Linked DNA regions of Tamandua tetradactyla. The protein of the gene in region 2 purifies or fractionates together with the protein of the main gene of each other region. This does not show direct contact. Links are inferred from orthologs where the notes say so. Each region holds a gene or a part of one and is shown on either strand. Other genes may lie near its edges.

Region 1 (7,402 bases), on a different chromosome or scaffold from region 2:
CGCCTGGAGCATGGGTAGGAAAGTCTCGAAGTCCACACGCCGGGACCTCAACTCTGGCGAGGTAAGAGAGAGGTCACTGTGGTGTCATCGGGATCCAGCTCCCATCCCTACCAGGAAGGCTTTGATCCTCTCCACCCTGTTTAACATTTCAGGATGTTTTTCTTCCCCTGTGTTTGAAGTTCTGAGACCCACCCAGCATCCTCAGCCATATTATCAACATTCCTGGTTTCCACCATCGACTTAAAACCCCACAATGTTCAAAGCATCCCCTCACCATCACTTTTGGGGTTTCCCAGGACCCTGAGCACCTCGGCGTTAGTGGGGTTCTGGCCTAGGGCCCTCATCACATCGCCACACTGGCTGAACTGGATCTTGCCATCCCCTACTCGGTCGAACAGCTCAAAGGCCTCCTTGAACTCTGAGGTTATAGAGAAGGATCAGTGTTGACCAGGAGTTACCATCACCAGACACGAAGAAGGTTCTGAAATTATGAGCTAGAGCTGGGCAGAACAAGGGACACAAAGACGACTAGTGTGGGAGGCTTCAAGGTCGGGACTGGAGTTAAGAGAATAGAGAGAGTATCTCAGCAGGGGCTTGGGGCTAGACAGTGGGCTAAGGGGGCAGTTTTTCCTCACCCTCCAGCTGATCCTTGTTAAACTCGATCTGTGGAAGAAAAGAGCAGGTGAGGAGGGATGACAGGGTTTAATAAATCCCTCTCCAACACTCCTCCCAACCAACTGGCAGCCACTTCTGGGGAGGGGCCCAAAGGGAACAGGCTTGAAGCCCAACTACCTCAGTCCCATTCCCGGCTCTGGGCCTTGGGAGAATCCCAAGAGGAGGAATTATGGGGGGAGGGTTTCCTGGGAGCAGGCTTAATCCCATGCCACCTGTTCCCCTCCCTCCACTGCCCTGAGCCCTGCATCCCTCACATAACTGGGGGCTGAACAAAGGCTAAATTTACCCCCTGCCCCCAGCTGTGATTGTCTAACAAGCCTGTCCTCTTCAGCCTCTCCTCCAAGGGTTCAAAGCTATGGCCTTTTGAGTTGAACTGCAAGCCAGGGACAAGCAGCAGCAATCTCCCTTCACCTTGAGACTATTCTTAGAACCCAGATGTTCCCATCCTAAAAGTCCCCATCTCCAGCAGAGGATCAGTGAATGTGTGTATGCACACATGCATGCAACATGTACACAAACATTCACACTTGTTATAAATTAGAACAGCAAACACAAAAGCAGAGACACGAGCCTGGATGCTTCCAAATAGGGGACCAAGGGGACCCCCAATCTCATCTCAGTGCTCATTGATTTTGTACTTTCCACATACCCCCTAATCCCCTAGGTTGTATCCCACCCTCTTACCACCCCCTCCAAATTCTATCCTCATTTTTTGAGGACTCACCACCACTTTGGAGAGGTCGATGGGGGGCTCCTCGGGTTTTTTAGGGGCAGTGGGAACAGCTGGCTCAGCTGTGGGCTTGGCTGGAGGGGCTGCTGCTGCGGGCTTGGCTGGAGGGGCTGCTGTTGGCTTGGCAGCAGGTTTGGAGAAAGAGGGCCCCAGTGGCTTCTTCACGGGAACATCCTTCTTGGGAGGCATGATGTCCGGTGGCCAAAGGACAGTGTGTCAATGGGGGCATCCATCTCTGTTTAAATAGCCAGGGAGTCTGGGATGTCAAAGGGGGGGGTGGGCAGTGGCAGGGAGCCAGTTGGCCGTGGCCAGGGTGAGGTAGAGGAGAGATATGCCTGTCTGCCCTCACTCCCTTGGCCTGCTAAGGTTCATGACTCCTGCCCCAAGGTCTTCCTGGCTCTGCCCACTGCCCCCGCCCCCCCCAAACACTGGCTGAAACAATGTCCCCTTTGGGGGCAGGGAAAGGAAGCCAGAGACTGTCCAGGATAGGGGAGTTAACCTCCGGGGTGAGGACAGGATACATGCCAGTACCAAAGAAGGGGATCCAGGCATTACAGGCCCCTAGGCCCCTGACTATTTGAGTAGCAGCTTTAGACTCTTGAAGGCTGAGGCAGGGCAGGGGGCATTGTGAATTGGGGTAAATTAACATAGGGGCTGGGGCAGAGAAAAGTGAAAAAAAAAAACAAGCAATCCTTTCACCCGCCTCTGACCATGGGGGAGGGGGGATGTAGCTGATCCCACAGCCTAACATCCAGCACCTGTAGTCCCCGGCCACCGCCTAGCCCAGAACTGGAGCTGTACACAATATAAACAGTGGTAACAGTAAGGAGAGTGCGGCATCTCTTCCCCGCCTTTGTCTCCTCTTTCCAGTACTGTTTTAGAGGTGGAGGTAGGGACAAGGATCAGGTACTTGCCACTGCTACTGCCAAGGAAGGAACCCTTTTTCACAAGCCTACGGTCATTCAAGTCGGGCAACCTATGGGGTGCGAGCCGACCCCACTGAGACCGTGGTGGCACCTGGGGGTGGGGAGCTGGCTCTGGGTGGCAATGACCTTCTCTAATCCAAAAGGATGTGGGGGAGTAATTCTATGGGCTCCCAGAGAGAGTACTCACCCCGCAACCAGATGGGAAATAAAAGCCCTGAGTCAGGTGCCAGGTCACAAGCCTTGCTGGGGGCGCTGGGGAAGGGTGGGAGTTGGGGATGTTTGGTAGATGGGACAGGTTGCTGGCTACTTTTGACCTGGGGGAAGGATGGGAGGATTTAGGAAGCATTCAGGGAAAGAGAGCAGTGATTCCATTTAGGCCCTGGGGTTCAGAGAATTGATGCTGGGTGGTTAAAAAAAAAAAGCTTCTGAAGCTCGCAACCGCAAGTGGTCCCATTTTAGGAAAATTAGGCCTCATTCCTTCTAGAGAGTACACACACATCCCTAAGTCTGAAATAAAGGAAGGGACCCCGCCCCAGCCCGCGCAAACTCACCCAGCGGGGTCCGAGGAAGGGACGGGGGCGGGGACGGGGCGGCGCGCAACGCGGCCAGGTCCCTGAAGGGTTAATTCCGGCCGCCTCGGGGCATGCCGGGAGCTGTAGTCCGCGGGCGTCCGCCGCTCGGGGAAACGCGGCTCTCCAAGTGGAAGCGGATGCGGGGCGGTGGCTTCCGGCCTTTGAAGGCAGTTGGTGACTCAGAGCTTTTCGAGCGCGCTTTTTATTCCGGAACTTTAAGGCAGTGAGCAATTAAGAACTTCACCCCTCTCCCTAAAATCCTGCGAGGTCCCTCAGGATAGCCCCCTTGGTTCTAGTGAGTTTCTCGTTTAGTGAGGGCGAGGATATTTTTCAGGGCTGCTGATGCGAGAAGGACCCAGAACCAGGCGAGATGGTGAAGCTGCAGCAGGCGGGATGGAGGTCAGATAACAGGAAGCACTTACTGGCCCGGGGAGAGTGGCTGCGGTCTCGTCTTCCACTAGTAGTTTGGTAGAGATAGAACAGAGGTCACTGAGTTGCTGTGTGACTTTGAGCAGTAGTTTCCAAAGTTGTATTATTTTTTAAAAAGCTGATCGTTCTTTAAAATTTGGAATTAAGCCCGAACACCTGCTTCAGAGGTTGTCCAGTCTCTTCCAGGTCGAAGCTTCTTCCTGCGGCCACATCTGTGCCACTTTCCCGCTCTTCGGACGCTTCTTTGGGGTGCAGCTGTGCTCTCCACCCCTCATTCTGTGACACCTCTGCCTAGCATTGGACTTCACTCATTCTCCCCAGACATTTTCACCCATTCCCGCTTGTCATGTATCGAGGGTCTCCTCTGCCTCTGTACTGGGTGAGGGAGAGAACCTTCCCGGTCGGGCTCCCTTTTCAGTCACTGAAGGATTTCAGGAATCCCATGGGAGGCAGGGAGTTAGTTGTGTGAGGCACAGATGAACTTTATGAGCTCTAAATGACGTTCTGTGGTCAATGGTTGGGGAAAGCTTCTTGGAAAGAAAATGGATTGTAGATTGTATTAACAGAAATAGCAATGATGATGGTGATGTTAGCAGCCATTCTGTTCCTCCAGGCCTTCATAGACCAGGTACCGCATTTAGCTACTGAATTATCGCAGAGACACAGCATAAGAAAAGCTAAAAGTATGAGTACTCAGGCCAGCCTGCTCAGATTTGAATCCTCTTTTTTTTTTTTTTAAATCTTCCTTTTGCCACATGCTAATAACCTCAGGCAGGTTATCTCTCTGTATCTCAACTTCTCCATCTATAAAGTGAGGACAATGAAATCTCATTGGGTTATTAAGATGATCGGGTTATGCTAATATTTGTAAAATAGAACAGGTTTGGCACAGTGTTTGTCTAGGTAAAATAAATTTCATTTAATCTTGCCAAGATAAAAAGTAGGTAGTATCTTCCCCCATTGTATATCCATGCATGATTAGTAGGTTTGAAGAAATAGGATGAAAGAATACGTTTCTCACAATTGTTTAGTTACTAGACTGTTTGGGGAAGGGCCACGTTACACGTTTTTTTTTGCAACACACAGAGAAGTTGATTTTGAAGATGTGGTTTATCTGATTTTTTTCTTCTCCTTTCTCCTAGCTGTAGCCCACACTTGGCACTTTGCAAAATGAGGGGTTATGCCATCAGCTGAATTATTTGTGTTTCTGGCTGCCTTATTGAGAAGTAGTGTAAGGAGAAAAGATGCAAACCCTTCCCACAAACAGGTTGGAGGACTAGTCTTCATTTCCTGTACATGAATAACAAAACTGGACTGAACACAGTTTTAACTGGATACAGGTGATTTAGACATCATCATGTGGGTTATCTGTGACAAATGCCTATTCTTTCTCCTCTCCTCCCTCCCCACCTACAGGTGATTAGTGGTTGCATATTTATTGTGATATTAATCTCAACATAATTAGCAAGGGCACCTCTTTCTTTTTAAATATTTTTATTGAGAAATTTTCACATATGTACAGTCCATCTACAGTATACACTCAATGGCTCACAGTATCATCACATAGTATATTCATCACCATGATCATTTTTAGAACATTTGCATCACTCCAGAAAAAAAAAGAAAAAGAAAAAACTCATACATCCCATGCCCCTTACCCCCCACAGTGACCACTAATATTTCAATCTACCCAATTTTATTTTTACCTCTTATCCCCCCCTTATTATTTGTTTATTTATGTTTCCTTATTTTTTTACTCATTTGTTCATACCCTGGAAAAAAGGGGCATCAGACACAAGGTTTTCACAATCACATAGTCACAGTGTAAAAGCTATATACTTATAGAATTGTCTTTAAGAATCAAGGCTACTGAAACACAGCTCTACAGTTTCAGGCACGTCCCTGAAGTCTGTGGGAGTCATGTGAAAGGGCATCTCTTGAAAGGAAAGTAATACATGAAAAACCTGGAGGACACAGATAAAAAAAGAAAAAAATAAGTAAATTGAACTTCATCAGAATTTAAAACTTGTGCGTCAAAGGACACTATCAAGAGAGTGAAAAGGCAAACCATAGAACAGGAAAAAATATTTGTAAATCATATATCTAATAAGGGTTTAATAGCCTGAATATATAAAGAACCCCAACTCAACAATGAAGACAGACACAATAAAAATAGGGGCAAAGGACTTGAATAAACATTTCTCCAAAGAAGATATACGAATGGCCAGTAAGCACATGAAAAGATGTTCGATATCATTAGCCATCAGTACCAGCCACACCTATTAGCTTTCATATCTTCAAAGGCATCCTATGTCCTTTTTACTCAGGCTGTTGGCATTTGTCGTTTATGCCCTTCACCTAGTCTCCAGGTGTATTCCCAAGGCCAAGCAGAGCACAGTACCTGGGATGTTCTCAGCACTCATATTCATAGAATAAGTGGATATCTGGGTAAATGAGAAGACTCAAGGATGAGCACCAATACTAGTAAGTCAATAGGGAGATAGGTGGGATTAAGGTGAGAGAATTCCCTGTGTTTTGGACTCTAACTTTCACCCTGAAGTAGAAGGTTAGGTTGTTTGATTTGCTAAGAGAGGAAATAGGAGGAGGTGGCTTGAGAAAGTAAGGAAGGTTTGAAGCAGGTACTGTGAATAGCTTACTGGATACCCATTCAAAAATACTCATTTGAAAAGCATTTACTAATTATCTTCTGTGCGTGTGGCACATGGACTTGCTGAGCAACACGGAGGCTGGGTGCAATGATAGATCATGAATTTGTGATGGAGCCAATACAAAAGGTAGTGATTTCCTTCTTCCAGAAGTAGTCACCTGGATGATTGAGCCAGGGAAAGACAGACGGAATATTATAATGAGTTGGAGATTTGTGGAGGTAAATCCACAAATTTAGTCCGGGCCAAATAAAGAAAGAATGAATATAGAGGAGGGTGCTATTGGATTGAGAGAATATGGAAAGACATTAAGGGGAAGGAGTCTCAGTGAGATTGAAGAAATGAGATAGTTGGAGAGCTCAAGAGTTGTAGTTGGAGAAAATAGTGCATTTGAGATTAACACTACAAGGGATGCAGAGGAAGACTAGACCTAGGATGGGTGGCCATTGGAGTGGGTGGTTGAAAGGGCAGTGGAAATGAAGGCCATTCGATTTGTGGAGAAAGCCTGTTAAGGGTTCTTCCAATTGCAGGTAGAAAGAAATTAACAAATTGGCTCAATGATAAAGGGTATTTATTGGCTCATGAAAAATCAAGAGATGGGTGGGCTTTTTGTTCAGTTTGATCCACAGATCATGACATAATAAAGGGATCCGTTCTCTTTAATATTCTTGCTAATGTCCTCCTTCAGGTTAGCTGCTTCTTTCTTGGCTCCCCTCCTGGAGCCGGATATGGCTTGGCTGTAACAGTTCCAGATATCACATCCTTATACCACAAGAGGAAGAGAAACATAAAAAAGACAAACAACCCAATTAAGAAATAGGCCAAGGATTTGCATAGACATTTCTCCAAAGAAAATATACAAATGGCCAATAAGCATGTGAAAATATGTTCAATATTATTATTAGTCATAACAGAAATGCAAATCAAAACTACAGTGAAATAGCACTTCACACCCACTAGGATGAACATTATTTTTTTTAATTATTTTTTTTTACATAGGCAGGCACCGGGAACCGAACCCGGGTTCTCGGGCATGGCAGGCAAGCACTCTTACCTGCTGAGCCACCGTGGCCCACCCAGAACATTATTTTTTTAAGAACGGAAAATAAGTGTTGGTGAGGATGCAACAAATACCTTGTTGGTGGGAATATAAAATGGTACAGCCTCTATTGAAAACAATTTAGTGAACTCTCAGAAAGTTAAACAGAATTACCATATGTTCCGGCAATCCTACTTCTAGGTATATACCCTAGAGAACCGAAATAGGGACTCAGAAAATATTTGTACATCAGTTTCATTCAGCATTTTTCACAATTGCCAAAAGATGGAAATAACCCAAGTGTCCATAAACAGATGAATGGACAGACAAGATGAGGTATATGCGTACAATGGAATATTATTCAA
Region 2 (7,370 bases):
AAGAAAGAACCTCAGTGGAAAGTTAGCTGCCTTTCCTCTGAAGAACCAACAAAATAAATCCCCTTTTATTAAAAGCCAATCCATCTCTGGTGTGTTGCATTCCAGCAGCTAGCAAACTAGAACACCCAGTAAGATTTTCTGCATGCCACTTCTGGAGAAGACATAAAAAGTGACATTCAATAAAGGAAGTGAGCTTTCTGCCACACAAAATACCTGTCTAAAGGGAATAAAGAATGACAAAGGAAGAGGGCAATTATGGGGGGCAGGAAGGAGGTTAGGTGTAGACCCCTGACACCAAAAGTCTACATCCACCACCCCCATCCTACAACCCGTGGTACCTAAGAAAGAGAAAGTCACACTCTCTGCCGAAGGTGAACATCTTTCCAAAAAGGTTCCTCTTGGACCTTTTGAAGCATCCTATGGCTCCTGCCCTTCGAGAAGACTGGAATGAGCTAAGCAGTATGGAGAGCCCATATATACATGCATGCACACAATGCCCATACAAATCCTTTCCTGGCTTTGCTTATGCTTTTTTTCCACCTAGTACTCTTCCTCACCTTTCCCTCTGGTCTTCTCTGAAAGCCCTGCCCACATAATATCTTTTCTAGGACACTCATATCATCTAGTCAAAATCAACTCATACCTTATGTTCTAGTTTGCTAGCTGCCAGATTGCAATATACCAGGAATGGAATGGCTTTTAAAAAGGGGAATTTAATCAGATGCTAGTTTACAGTTCTAAGGCTGAGAAAATGTTCCAATTAAAGCAAGTCTATAGAAATGTCCAATCTCAGGCTCCAGGGAAAGATACCTTGGTTCAAGAAGGCCGATGATATTCAGGGCTTCTTTCTCAAGTGGAAAGCACATGGCGAACACAGTCATAGTTTCTCTCTCAGCTGTTAGGCACATGGTGAGAAAGGCATCATCTGCTAGCTTTCTCTCCTGGCTTCCTGTTTCATGAAGCTCCCTGGGAGGCGTTTTCCCTCTTCATCTCCAAAGGTCGCTGGCTTGTGGGCTCTCTGCTTCTCGTGGCTATGTCATTCTACTCTGCCCTCTCTGAATCTCTCTCTCATTCTCCAAAATGTTTCCTCTTTTATAGGACTCCAGAAACTAATCAAGACCCACCCAAATGGTTGGAGACATGCCCCTACCTAATCCAGTTTAACAACCACTCTTGATTAAATTACATCTCCAGGGAGATGATCTAATTACAGTTTCAAACATGCAATACTGAATAGGGATTATAAGAAACAGTTGCCTTTACGAAATGGGATTAGGATTAAAACATGGCTTTTCTAGGGTACATACGTCATTTCAAACCACCACACTTTATCAGTACTCCCAGATTTCTGTCTTGATGTGTGAACTCCTCATGAGTTCTTTGTCATGTCTGGGTCCATCACATTTTTTGGTAGATGTATCTGGACAAATCTTTCAATTCAGCTCTTTTGGCAGCCACTACTGGGCACTACAGTTGACACACATGTGGATAATAGTGTTCATATACACCAATCTTGAGGTGAGTGCAGTTTGAATCCTGGCTGTGCCACTGACAAGTTGTGTAGTCTTTGGAAAGTTAGTTAACCTTTCTGAGTCTCAGTTTCTTCATTTTTAAATTGGAGAATTCTAGTAATTCCTATGTTACAGGGTGGTTGTGAGGGTCAAATGAAAGAATGAATACCAAACATTTAGAAAGGGCTGGGCACTCATTACAAGTTAGCTGTTGTTATTTGTAAGCCATTTGTCAACCCTAGTAAATACTAAGAGGCATGATGTGGGGAAATCCTGCCCCAAATCCCTAGTGGTCCCTCGCATGTGTCCAGAGCCCTTCAGGAGATCCAGCCTGGGTGGAGGCCCCAGGGTAAAGCTAGATTCATATTTGATTGAATACCTAGGACTGGGACTCAGGTGGCCATTTTAGAAATCTGTCTTCCAGAGAATAGCTACAATTCTATGAAAAGTTAGCCCTCAGCATCTTTCACCCTTCATCTTCAGGGGTATTGAGAAACTATTGCCTCAGATTTCCCAGCCTCTTCACAGGAAACTGGCTTCCAAAAGCCCAATATGTTTTTATATGAGACATCTTATCAAATCAGAAGTGTTATTCTCTGTCCCAGGGAAACCATACTTCTGGGAAATTTCTATGGGAATTATATAGAAATCAAATCCTAAATTTTCAACAGTAAGAATCCTGTATTTGTTAGCTATTCATGATGAATTTTCTTTTCACCTGATTTTCTGTCTTTGGGGGATTAATAATCTGTCTGGGAAGATGGACAGGTAAATAATTCAATGGGCCACGTGCTATAATAGAGCCATATATGACTGTACACTTGGAGTTGAAGACACCTTTCACTGTAGGGTACACCAGCAAATAAAAACAGCTTTTGGAGCCATTAAGAAATATCCTATCATTCATATGTATATATATATATATATATATATATATATATATATATATATATATACACACACACACACTAAAAACTTGATTGATAATAACATACATCTTCCCGGGGATTACTTATCAACCTCTTCTCTAAATCAAAGTTGGAGCCAAGCTTTTTTGAAGAGCCCAACTCTATTGTACCTAGTTAGTCATTCCTGTCATCAATTCTAGCTCTGAAATTTCTCTGACCTTTTCTGAGAAATTAGTTAAGTTTACATATGTGCAAGCAATGACAATTATGTTACAATATACTTCTCTACCTGGTATCTGTCTTTTAGTAAATACTATTTTGATTTCAAAAGCATTAAAATGTGAAAATCTTGGACTTATTTTTGAAGACATATGGTTTTTAAACTGCTTCTGGGTGACAAATGTGGAAATGATTAATTTTGCTTGAGGGAGGAGGTGACATTTAAGTTAAGTCTGGAAAATTGAGTATGTGTTCCAAGGCAGGTAAAAGTCTATCAAGTATTCCAGGTAAAGGGAAATCTCTATCATGATGCTTATCTCAAGTTATCCTGTTAATTGTTTTACTCCCACTAGCATTTAAGCGCCTCAAGGTCATGAACCATTTTTACTCAGAATGACTATTTAGCTCATTGTTTCACCATGTATTTATTTTATATTTACTAATTTTATTCATATTTATACTTGCTGATAAAATAGTATCTCTAATAGCTCATTGTAGAAAACTTGGGAAACACAGAGAAGCAGACAAACAAAACCTCTCATACAATTCTACTGTAATTCTGCTACCTGGAGAAATAACTGTTAAACATTTTGGTGTATATGATTCATGGCTTTTTAAAATTCATATGCATCTCTTTCTTTTTCTTTTTTTGCAAATGCAATTTCAGTGAGATATATTCACACACCGTATATTCCATCCTAAGTACTTTCTATTTTTTTCAAGCAAAAATGGTATCTTATATTGTGAGCTATTGATTGTACACCATGTATGAAATACTTGTATGTTAAGAATGTTCCTGTTTGTACTTTGTTTGGATTTGTCAATAAAAATAATAAAAGAAAAAGAAATGGTATCATACTATGTTTATTGGTTCATAATTTTGGTTTTTTTTTTTTTTTCACTTAACCATCATCTTAGAAATATGATCATTGTTTGCCTACCGGACCATCCCATTGAAGGCAATAATGTCCAGCCCCTAGGTTTTATTCCTCAGTTGGCCATACCTCCTGGCCGCAGTGGACTGAAGTAAAAGATCAGCCAACATCTGAACCAAAGACAACCCGTCAATGGATGGCCAGAGACTTAGCTATGGGGTAAAAAGATGACTGGGTCCAATCATATGCCACTCTGTGGACTATGGAATTGGAAAATCAAGGTGCTCCTCAGCCAGAGCTGTGGAGGAGCCGGAGAAATGAGAACGGAGAAGGCTGGTTCCCACAACGAGGAGGGTGGAACAGACCTGCAGAGAGGCAGAGATGCCCAGAGGAATAGAGCCATCCTTTCAAGCTTCCATCAGACCTGTTTTTGCAATTCCGGCCCATATATATCTTTATAATGGATGCCTCCCTTTCCTTTTTTCTTGAAAAAAAGTAAGATGTAAAGGAGCTTGCTTGGCTCAGCAGGCAGGGAAAGGGAGGTGGCCCACGGTTTTGATTTCAAACCGCCGACTCTGCGGCCCTTCCCTTAGAATTGCAGATAGGGCGGTGGCTCCGCTGGCGGGTCTCGGAGGCCCGGGGCGGCCCCAGTCGGTGCAAACCCGGCGGGCGGACTCCGCCTCCTTCCGGCCGCTGCTGCGGAGGCGCGGGGCGTGGGGGAGGGGGCCCGCACCCAGGGGGCGGGATGGGGCGGGGCCTGCGGCTCGGTCCCGCCCCCTTCCGCCCGCTCCCGCCGGCGCGGCAGGGCGGGGCCCCCAGGGTGGGGCCTGGGGGCGGGGCCTCCGGCGCCTCCGCGCGCGCAGTTGGCAGGAGCTGCAGCCCCCGCCGCGCGTCCTGGGTCTCTCCGCTTCCTCAGCAGAGACCCGGCTCGGCCGCCATGTCCGCCGCGGACGAGGTCGACGGCCTGGGCGTGGCCCGGCCGCACTATGGCTGTGAGTGCGGGGTTCCGCGGGGGCTCCGGGGCCAGGCCCGCTGCCTCTGCGGCGCCGTTTCCCGGCCTGGGGCGGTGGGGCAGGGCGTGCGGGCCGCGTGGACCCGGAAGGGCCGCCGGCTGGGCCGCAGGAAGCGCGGGTGGCGGGACGAGTCCCTGCGCCCTGCTCGGCTCCGAGCGGCGGGCGGACCCGGAGGGCCCCTGGGAGCCCGGGCGCTGCGACCCCGGAGCCCCACCCAGCGCCCGCCGCCCGCTCGGCCCCGGAGAGACGGCCGGGGGGGACGGCAGGACGGCACAGGGCGTGTCCTGGGCACCGAGCCCGGGCCTTACCGCGTCTTCGGGAGCCCTTCCCCGTCCTCGTGGGCCCTGCCCTGTCCTCGGGGTCCCTGTCCCGTCCTCGGGGTCCCTGCCCCGTCCTCGTGGGCCCTGCCCTATCCTCGGGGTCCCTGCCCCGTCCTCGGAGCCCTGCTCCGTCCTCGGGGTCCCTGCCCTGTCCTCGGGGGCCCTGCCCCATCCTCGGGGTCCCTGCTCCGTCCTCGTGGGCCCTGCCCCGTCCTCGGGGTCCCTGCCCCGTCCTCGGGGGCCCTGCCCCATCCTCGGGGTCCCTGCCCCGTCCTCGTGGGCCCTGCCCTATCCTCGGGGTCCCTGCCCCGTCCTCGGAGCCCTGCTCCGTCCTCGGGGTCCCTGCCCCGTCCTCGAGGGTCCCTGTCCCGTCCTCGGGGTCCCTGCTCCGTCCTCGTGGGCCCTGCCCCATCCTCGAGGGTCCCTGTCCCGCCCTCGGGGTCCCTGCCCTGTCCTCGGGGGCCCTGCCCCATCCTCGGGGTCCCTGCCCTGTCCTCGTGGGCCCTGCCCTATCCTCGGGGTCCCTGCTCCGTCCTCGGGGTCCCTGCCCTGTCCTCGGGGGCCCTGCCCCATCCTCGGGGTCCCTGCTCCGTCCTCGTGGGCCCTGCCCCGTCCTCAAGGGTCCCTGTCCCGTCCTCGGGGTCCCTGCCCTGTCCTAGGGGTCCCTGGGTCTGGGGGCCCTGTCCTGTCTTCGTGGCCTCTGTCCCGTCCTCGGGGGTCCTGTGCGCTCCCAGGCCAGTGGGGAGGTGCGGCCTTGGGCGAGTCACTTCAGCTTTCTAGGGTTTAGTTCCCTCTTCAGGATTTGAAAAGTAGAAAAAGAAAATCCACCCTTGGACTTCCTCATTCTTGGAACCTCCTTTTCTGTGGGTCCATGAGACATTATTAAACTGCAGGGGCTGGTACCACGGCCACAGGGGGTCCTTTTGAGTCTTTGGCGGTTTCATGTGTATTTATATTTGGGAATAAAATTTTGTTTTTAAGATAATTTTGCTCTTAAACAGTTATGTGTGAGGGATTGTGCCACATCTGGGAAATTGAATATGGGCAAGATTAGGTCCTGCCTTCAAAGAACATTTAAAATTAGAGACAAAGAGGTCTGCAACCTAATGATAATAAGGTGTGGTAAAGATAAAGTACGTGTGACCTGACTGGTCATAAGCAGTAAACAGTGAGTGAAGAGGAGGGTTTGAAGAAGGCAGTGTGAGCACAGGTGTTGACACTTGAGCAGCGACGTCCAGGAGGATGTGTAAAGTTTGACAGGGTGGGGTGGGGCAAGACACATGAAGAGGGAAGAGCACGAAGGAAGGTCATAAAGAGGAGGGCACTGTGCACAGTGGTGGGGAAAGGGCAGGGAGAGGGAAGAGATGTGTTTCTCTTGTTGGGGCTAGTTGTTGGGGCTAGATTGAGAAATCTAGCTCTGCCAAGGAGTTAGGGTGCTCTGGGTGTCCGTGAAGGAGGCACATTGCTTCCAGGGTAAGCTCACAGGCTTTGGAGGCAGACTGCCTGCGTTAGCTGTGGGGCTGAGCTCACCCAGCCTCACTTTCCTCATCTGTAGAATGGGAGTGATAATCACAGGGTTGTTGTGTGGTTTCAATGAGAGGATGCATGTAAAACGCTTAGAACAATTACTGCCACTTTGTTCTCAGTAACCGCTGGCTTTGGTTGTTCGTGAAATAGGGGAACAACAGGGTCAGATCTGTATTTAGAAAGAGTTCTGGCAGACAGACAAGGACAAATTTAGGCCCAAATCTCAAGAAACAGTATTTTTCTAGGTCACGTTAAAATTGAGTACGTGCTCATATTGTACCTAGAAGAGAGTGTAAGATTAGTGTAGTTGAAACCCCTCAATTCTTGTTTCAGGAAAGCCACTGTAGTGCACCTGGCGATACATGCAGCCCATGGTTACCTTGAACCTCTAGTGACTCACAGGAATTTGATGCTTTGGCATTCTTTTATCGATCAGGAAGGTTACAGAGCCCCACGTTTACGTTCTTCTTTTTCATGTTTCAGCTGTCCTGGATAATGAGAGACTTACTGCAGAGGAGATGGATGAAAGGAGACGTCAGAATGTGGCTTATGAGTACCTTTGTCATTTGGAAGAAGCAAAGAGGTAAGGATTGGCTGGCTGGAGAGACGATTGGGAGAAGGAAACTGATGTGATATGGATACAGATAAAGATCTCTGAATGTGTTGTAGGTGTGACTGAGGCTGATAGTCTAAGGAATAAATATAGGCATGTTATTTACTCATGGGAGCGACTGGTCTTGATGGCAGCTTATTATGAAACACTGGTGGACATTTATGTATACTGAAGAATTTTCAGATTTTTGCTGTTCAGTTTAATATTTATGGTGCATGTTTTGGACATGATCAGCTGTAGGAAAGAAATAGCATTTTTAGAATTTGAAGTTCTTGGCTTTTTTAATGTCTCGTTATCACTGGTTTTGGTTTATGTATGAGTTGATTCCTTTCTCCCCATGGCAGTGGAGGGGTATGTGGTTTAGGAGGCTTAGGAGTAGGGAGC
Region 3 (7,849 bases), on a different chromosome or scaffold from region 2:
AGTAACTACGTTAATAGTTTGATTTGTTCCTTTTCAGACAGACCTTTTTTTTTCGGGTAACAAAAGTACTGTTCCACATATAAACACACATACTCAGAGTTAGTGGTTTGTGCTTTAAAAAAAAAAAAAATACAAGTAAGATCATTCTATCCATGTTGCTCTAGAACTCACGCCTGACTTTTTTTTTCCCTAACAAACAGTTCCTCTTTCCATCAATATATGTAGATCTGCTTCATTATTTTATCAGCTATGTAATATTCCATAGTGTGGATATAGTTTAATTTAACCAGTTAGCATGGATGGATAGATTATTTTCCATTTTATCATTACCCAAAAATGCGGCAAACAACCCCTTACACATATACCTGCTTGTTTGAGTAACTCAGTGGGTTAAATTTCTCTGCTGAGAATTGTCACTGCTAGTTCAATTTTAGTGCTGTGCTCACTAAAATTTTTTATATTTGCAGCCAAATTGCCTTCCAGAAAATCTGCAGCAATTTATGTTCTTGCCAGCATTTTACTCACTCCTTCCAAGTCACTGCCCATATGCCCTTTGTTCTCTTAAGTTTTTCAGAGTGATAATGGTGTTGTGGTTATGTTTTTTAATGAAGCCTTTATCTTTCTGAGATACAAGCTAAAATATAGATGCAGTGAATTGTGGATAAAAATAAAAGTATAGAATTCTTTTAAAAAAAAATCCCAACCTATTCTGAAAAACAAAGGAAAAAGATAAAAGAATCCAGAAGTACAGAAACAGATGTACCTATCAGAGAACAGGTTTCCTTACGTGACTGAGAGATAACCATAACAGTGGCAGAGCTTTGAGCTGGCCCTGTTGGAGAATCTAACAAGCTTTTCAGTTTCTTCCAGAATCTACTTCTCTGTCTTAGAGTTCAGGCCTCCAGAGCTCTCCTCTGGGCCTGGGCTTACCGCTCTGACCCTTGGAACTCCTACAGCACCCCACCTGAGTACTCCTTTATCCCATTCCTAGAGGAAGCATCTAGACATCCGGCCCCAGGCCTTCCCTTTTTGACCTATCATGTCTTTTTCAGCTTCTCCAGGTCACTGCGACTTGACTTCTGGAAATTGGTTTTCACTGTTTGGTTTGGTTTGGTAAAGTCTGTTATTACAGCTGGTTCTTCCTTTTGACAAAATTTGACTTTTTCATTTATAGTTCTGACTGGCATCTGAACCTAGTATCTGCATTTTACTGTCCACTGCAGAAGCCTCGGGCTACTTCCTTAGCCCTAACACACTGTTGGACCACTTACTCAGTTCCTGTTCTTCTTTGAGAGATGCCTTTCGCTCCAGTAATAATAATGAGTTACCATTTTTTTGTGGGTTTGTTAAGCAACAGACTCAATGCTAAGTGCATTATAAACAACATACATATCTTTGGGTCATCATCCTATCATCATCAGACAGCCCTAAGAGGTGATTATTATTCTCAATTGCCAGAGGACGAATCCAAGGCTCAGAGAGATTAAGTAACTTTCCTTAGATCACACAATATTGGGCCCAATATTGTTTTCATAGTCATTCTGTCACTACAGATTTATAACATCATGTCATTCCACTGCTTAAAACCTTCCTTTTCATTGCACCTAGAAGAAAATCCAAATTTCTGACCATGGCTTAATAAGGCCCTGCACACTGGCTCTTACCTATATCCCTCATCTCATCTCTAACTACTCCCTTCCATGCAAACTATTCCTAGCCATACTCGCCTTCTTGCTCTTACTGGAATACATAAGTCTACCACATGACCTCTGTACTTGATTTTCTTACAGCTTGGAATAGTCTTCCTGAGATCTTTGCTTGGCCAGCTCCTTCTCAGACTTCAGGTCTTAAATTCCTACAAAAATTTCCCTAATCATCTTGTCTGAAATTTACCCTTTTCCTCCCATCACATTCAGTCATGTCACTATTTCATTTTATTCATAGCACTTTCCACCATCTGAAATAATCGTGTTTTTTTATTCTTTGAGGGGAGGAGGAGGGGTGCCTGGTCTGGGAATCGTACCCATGTCTCCCGCATGGAAGGCAAACATTCTCCCACTGAACCACCCATGAACCCTGCTTTTATATTTTTTAGGTTATTGTCAGTTTCATTGTGTAAGCCCTTAGAAGGTAGAAACATTATCTGGCTTCTTTACTGTATTGCTGAAGTCTGTGACAGTGCTTTAGCAATACAGTCCCTCAGTAAATGTTTATTGAATACATAAATGGATGAATGATAGCAATCTTTCTCTATCAGTAGGAGGAAAGGAGTGGTTCCCTGACAGAGGGGGTCTGAGAAGTAGTTCCAGAGAGGGGAACTTGGAGACTGGAGTCCTGATCTCCTTCCCGTTGCTTTGCAGGCCAGAGGCACCCAATGAGTTCTATGATGGAGACCACGACAATGACAAGGAAAGTGACGTGGAGATTTAAGAGTGGCTTGGGGATGCTATGTCCCAAGGACTTCCTTTTCACCTCTTGATTGGGCAGGAGGGAGAAGACGTGACTTCTCTATTCCTGGATATATCACAACCAGGGAAGGGTTCGGAGACCACATCTGGTTCTAGAACCAACTTCCCCTTTTCCTCTGCCTCCCCAGGCCTGACAGTGGTACCTGTTGGGAGGGGAAGGAAGCAAAGACAGCTGTCTCTGGGTTACCTTGGGCAGTGGGCCCTAGGAGCCAGACCCCAGCCCCTCTACCTCCCTTATTCCTTCCATGCTTCCCTCCAACCCAGAGACTTCAGCCTAAAAGGGTAGGCAGGACTGAGGTTGCCTCTGATTCCTTCATGCCTGGGTGTTCTGCTGTAGGCTGTGCTTCCAGGACAGGTGAAATATGAGAGGTTTCAGGGGCCTCTGACTCACTAAAACCTTAATCTCAGATAATCTGACGTATGGTTTTGAGTCAGGGGAAGATGTGAAAATGTCATGTTCTAACTTTTTTTGGCTTCATGTCCATTTTACCACTGTTTTTATCCAATAAATCAAGTTGGTATTTTTTGTACCTTTTGCCTTTCTGGGAGTGTTCTTAATTCCTGTTAGTGTTATCTGCCCATGTGTGAAGGGAAGAAGAAAAGGGGTAATCATGCTTATAATAAGAATCATCATTAACATTCATTCAGCACATTATTTTATGTTAGGACCTATTATATATTCTATATGGATTATTTTACTTCAACTCAGGGAGTTAAGCATTCTGGTTGAGTTAAACAAACCTGGATAGATTACTAGTTTAAGAGAAGAAATAGAAGACAACTTCAGGGTTTTGAACCTGGGTTTTGGAATAACAATGCTAGTTGCTGACTATAAATTACAATAAAACATGTCAAGTGCTTAGCACCGTGCCTGACAAAAGTAGTTATTAGTCTCATTATCTTATCTTTGTGTAAGGAACAAAGCTAGCTACCATAGTAGCCACAAAACATGGACCCTTCTCTGGAGTGGTTCACAATCCAGTAAGGGAAAGAGTTACAAGTTCACATGGATTGTAATAAATGTTATAGTACATACAGACAGTGGTACAAGAAAGAGGAGTAGTAGATGAGCCACTCTTTCCATCCTTTGATCCTATTTGTTTCTCAGCACTCCAGCTTAGTAAGCAGTTTTTGAACTCTTGAAAAAGTTGAGTTTGAAGTGTGGGTTGGACAGCTTGATACAACTTTCTTTCAGGCAATTAGAGGGTCTGGAGCACCAGAGAAATGAATACCAGATTAGGAGCTAGCCAGTTTGACACAGTCTCTGCAATATACCAGCTCTTGGACAGGGGTACCAGAGTGAGTACGCTGACCTTCAGGAATGCACACTTGAAATCTTTTGTCACCAGTGATCAAGGCAATTCATGCTGTGGGGTCATACTGAATATCTACTTTTCATACAAGGGACAGGTGCCAAGGGAGAACGTCACACTAGAAGAGCAAAGAACATGCTCTTGGAGAACATCCCTTCTTTTCACTCATGTTCAGTTTATGTCAGTGGAGAGTCCTGCTTAAAAACAGGGCTTGCCAGTCAGACTAACCAGTGTTTCTTTTTTTTTTTTTTCTTTTCTATCAAATTTGTGTTCTTAGGCAAGTCACTTCAACTCTCACAACCCTAATATCCTATCTGTAAAATTGGAAGACTAGTAGAATCTATCATGTGGTCTAATGAGTGAGATGATACATGTGTGCTTTGCACAGTGCCTAGCACAGAGCAAATGCTCAGTAAATGGAACTATTAATACTGTCTAGGCCAATGTTTGGAGTAACTAGTTTGTCCAAATTAGAACTACAACTAGAAAGTAGCTGACCTGAGATTCGAAACTAGGCACTCTAACTGCGGAGCTAGTCTGGTTCAGGGTTTAGCATGGACCATGCTCTATTCTTGGTATTTAGCTGTCAATAAATGGCAGCTGTCACTTTCAATGTAATCTACGTGTATTTCACATGTAAGAACTGCACTATCCCGGAAAATCCGGCACTAAATTTTCTGTCAGGGTAACGGTACCTCTGATTCGAATTTTGGCTCAGATTATAATATCCCGGTCTGAGTGAGAGTAGGTTCAGGTTTGACAGACACGTGGAAGCTGAGTGGGAACAAGGAGACCTGGTCTTCGCCGCTCGTACAGCCAGGGAGCGCTGTTGCCAGTCGCGGCCTAATCGAGCTGTACCGCCCACTCGTCATCCCCCACGTGGGCCGAATGGTTAGGTCCGCGGGCAGGTAGTGTGCTTCCGCGACTCCCCTCCACCCCTTTTCCTTCCCCCATTGGTAGGGGCTGCGCGTCCGGGCGGAAGTGGGGCAGGCGGGCGGGAGCGAGGCGTCACCGTTGTATATTCATGAGGCGCGCGCAGCCCGGCATGCTAATGAGGCGGGGCGCGGCGGCTGGCTAAGGAGCTGCTAGGCGGGCGGTGGCGGCGGCGGCGGGCGCGGTGCGACCCGTCGGGAGCGACGTAGGCGCGGGGGTCGCCAGCCAGCGCGAACCGGGGCATGGAGCCGCCGGGTGGGGGCCTGGGGCCCGGCCGCGGGACCCGGGATAAGAAGAAGGGCAAGAGCCCGGACGAGTTGCCTGTGGCGGGCGGCGACGGCGGCAAATCCAAGAAATTTGTGAGTGTCCCTCCCACCTGGTTTCCTCTGCCCGTCCCCACAACCGGCTCGGGACCCGGGAAACCCCAGCAGCCGGGCCTAGGGGCTCCCGCCTATCTCTCGGGAGCCGCCCCCGCGCCTACCTTCCTTGACTAGCTGGGTCCTTGGCTCCTCAGCCCGACATCCTCCTCCTCTTCCCGGACCTCGGGAAGCCCCGGAGTCTCACCCGGTTCTTGCCCCGGTAGCCGCGGGGCTTCTTTCACTCTCCAGCCGGCAAGCTCTGCCCTCCGTCCTCACAGCCCCGGCCAGCTCTCTGCCCGGTCTCTCTCCTCCCAGCCCCACTTCCTTTCTTTCTCTGTTACCCGCTCACGGCTTCTCTATCTTGATCTCCTATGCTTTCCTGGGTCCATTTACCTCCCCCCCTCTTTTTTTTTGTAATCTCTTATTTCCTTATCCAAAAGGTCACTTCCTTCCCCATGATTGATCCTTTTCACCTGCTAACTTTCCTCCCTGCCCCGTCCCCACTCTGGGCCCTCAGCCCGGTGTCGCTTGATAATCCTTCCGCTCAGGAATGTTACCTGATTTGGACCATGTGATACAGGAATAGGTTCCTGCTTAGGTCCTCTGGTCATTCGGCCTTGGACGTTAATTATTTGCTTCCCAATATTTCTCTTTCCAAAAAACCTGTTTCTTTGCCCTGTTGCTTAACACTTTTCAGGGGTTTAGAACTTCTCCCAGGATTATGCCCTTCTCCACCTAGGATGGGAATAAACCTCCCCCATGGGGAGGAAGTTAGTAAGTTCAAGAAGTTTGTGAGTAATTGAATTTTTTTATACATTTTCCGTGATAACCATCTCCTCAACTCCTCTTCTGCCACCTCCTGTGCCTCAAAGCTGCTCACTTCCCTTTTCCTACCTGTCGAAGAGTATGGATTTCCTCAGGTGCCAGTTACTTCCAACCTTAGTCTGGAGAAATAATTGCTATTCATGTAATCCTACCGTATTTCATTACCTTTTGCCCACACTAAATCTTTTTTTCCTTACTCCTCTCTGCAGGGAGCTACTTGTCTACTTTTTATCATAAAAACAGAAAGATTTGGGGCACTGTCCAAGAGAGGGAAAAGTCTTTGATCTTAATAATCGCTTGTTAGTTGTAACTGTGTTTTAGTCTTTCCCTCTAGATGGTACAGCGTCTCCCTCCCCTTCTACTGACCAAATGGTTTATAGCTCTTCTTTCTGTTTTCTCTTGTCCCCAGCATTCTGACCCAACTCCACAAGTTTGGGAAATAGTGGTGGAAACAGGAAGAAAATATTGTGAGGTTGAGATGTGGAGAGTACTAGTACAAAATAAAACAGTGACTCATCTCTTTTCTACCTGTTTCTAAGACCAGGTGCTCCTGGACTCTCCTTTCCAGTGATTTACAGGCTGTCGGTAACTGCCTGTTTTTATCTGGTGAATATCTTTTTGTCTATAAGTGTAGGATTAACAGGAGTGTCGTCCCCCTCTCCCCCAAACCTTTGATGATTAAAGCAGCATTTTCCTATGTTTCTTTAGGCTAAGAATTGACCCTCTGGTTTGAAAGTTTCCCTTCTAAGACTTAAGTTCTAGGGCCCATACTCCTTCTGGTTTCTGTATCTTTTTGTTTTGATTTTGTTTCCATGGGTATTGTTTGACCTTCCTAACCTGAATTCCCACTGCTGATTTATAATAACTTTTGTGACTTGTAAATATTTTTTCAAATCTTAGTGGAATTTTCTGTGTGTTTTTGTTTTATCTAATATGGGTGTGTTTCGTGAATTTGTGAATCATTCATGTGTGATGCTGTAAGGTGAGAGCACCTGTTTTGGGAATGTCACTGAGTCTTCTTTGCTGAATGAATTTGTCTCAGAATAGTTGGTATTTGCTTTAGAGAGGGTGGAGCCGAACCAAGTTCTCTTTTTCTTTCTGAGGTGTTGGTCTTAACCCTTAACCAGTTGAAGTTTTAAAAATATGTAGTATAGGCAGTGAAGAGATTTGCTTTAGTAGCTAGGGGATTGGAAGGTTCCCAGGAAAGTAGTGCAGCTTAACTCCTTTATTGCCAGGTATGACCTGCCTCAAGTCATCAGAATATTCTGTTTGAATTCTGTGGAAATGGAAGACTAGGCACATTGCAATGCACTTCTCTCTGTGTCAGTGTGTGTGTGTAAGTGTGGGCGGGCGGTGTGGGCAGGATTGCTGCAGTGCTTTTGTTACCCATGGCTTGGTTTTCTTAAACTGCAGGTTAAAACGGAACTCAAAGCTGTTTCGCCTACTCCACGTTTTCTAGAGTGTGTGGCCTCTGGAACACCATTAAGAGTGTTTTTATAAAACTGCGCTGGTCTGGACAAAGTGTGCCTGGAGGTTGTTTGCATCTGAGGGGTAATATTAATCCCTTTAGCTGCTACATACCTTTCTGGGTTTATAGAGGTTCTGTGTACAGATCATCGAATGAGAAAACAGAGCTCTTACCCTCTGAGGCAATCTTGTGTGGAAAGGAGATAGAGAGTCTTAAATTTAAAAAGTGTTTGGACACCGTCTTTTAAAATATATGATTATTAGAGAGATGTTGACATGAGTGGCTGAAGCCAGGCGACCTGGTACTCCCCCTTGGTTTTTCATGTGTCTGTCTTCTCCCAGGCCCTGTGCATTTCCCTTCTCCAGGATCATTCCAGTTGTGTTTGGAAGTCCTTAAGATGAAGGAAATAAGAGAACTATAATTAAATGGAATGTGGAGTGTTTTCTGGACTCAACAGCAGTGGTAAATGTGGGTGTCAAATAT

Evidence for each region. The genes of interacting proteins can lie anywhere in the genome.
Region 1: the proteins of IQGAP1 (region 2) and MYL6B purify together in Homo sapiens (affinity purification with mass spectrometry; 3 studies listed by BioGRID and IntAct, with this or other methods). This does not show direct contact. The link is inferred for Tamandua tetradactyla from reciprocal best matches to the Homo sapiens genes IQGAP1 and MYL6B.
Region 3: the proteins of IQGAP1 (region 2) and protein diaphanous homolog 1-like purify together in Homo sapiens (affinity purification with western blotting; 3 studies listed by BioGRID and IntAct, with this or other methods). This does not show direct contact. The link is inferred for Tamandua tetradactyla from reciprocal best matches to the Homo sapiens genes IQGAP1 and DIAPH1.

What each region holds. Positions count from the first base shown.
Region 1 is NC_135333.1:123,210,809-123,218,210, reverse strand, and holds the start of MYL6B (myosin light chain 6B), read right to left. Parts: upstream 3,013-7,402; 5' UTR 2,883-3,012; intron 2,646-2,882; exon of another isoform or gene 2,519-2,645; intron 1,641-2,518; 5' UTR 1,595-1,640; coding exon 1,400-1,594; intron 664-1,399; coding exon 636-663; intron 419-635; coding exon 275-418; intron 54-274; coding exon 1-53. UniProt on the Homo sapiens protein: Regulatory light chain of myosin. Does not bind calcium.
Region 2 is NC_135338.1:98,911,175-98,918,544, reverse strand, and holds the start of IQGAP1 (ras GTPase-activating-like protein IQGAP1), read left to right. Parts: upstream 1-4,358; 5' UTR 4,359-4,450; coding exon 4,451-4,505; intron 4,506-6,856; coding exon 6,857-6,956; intron 6,957-7,370. UniProt on the Homo sapiens protein: Plays a crucial role in regulating the dynamics and assembly of the actin cytoskeleton.
Region 3 is NC_135346.1:21,752,688-21,760,536, reverse strand, and holds the start of protein diaphanous homolog 1-like, read left to right. Parts: upstream 1-4,837; 5' UTR 4,838-4,956; coding exon 4,957-5,073; intron 5,074-7,849. Other genes in the region: HDAC3 (histone deacetylase 3), read left to right, coding at 2,361-2,430. UniProt on the Homo sapiens protein: Actin nucleation and elongation factor required for the assembly of F-actin structures, such as actin cables and stress fibers. Binds to the barbed end of the actin filament and slows down actin polymerization and depolymerization.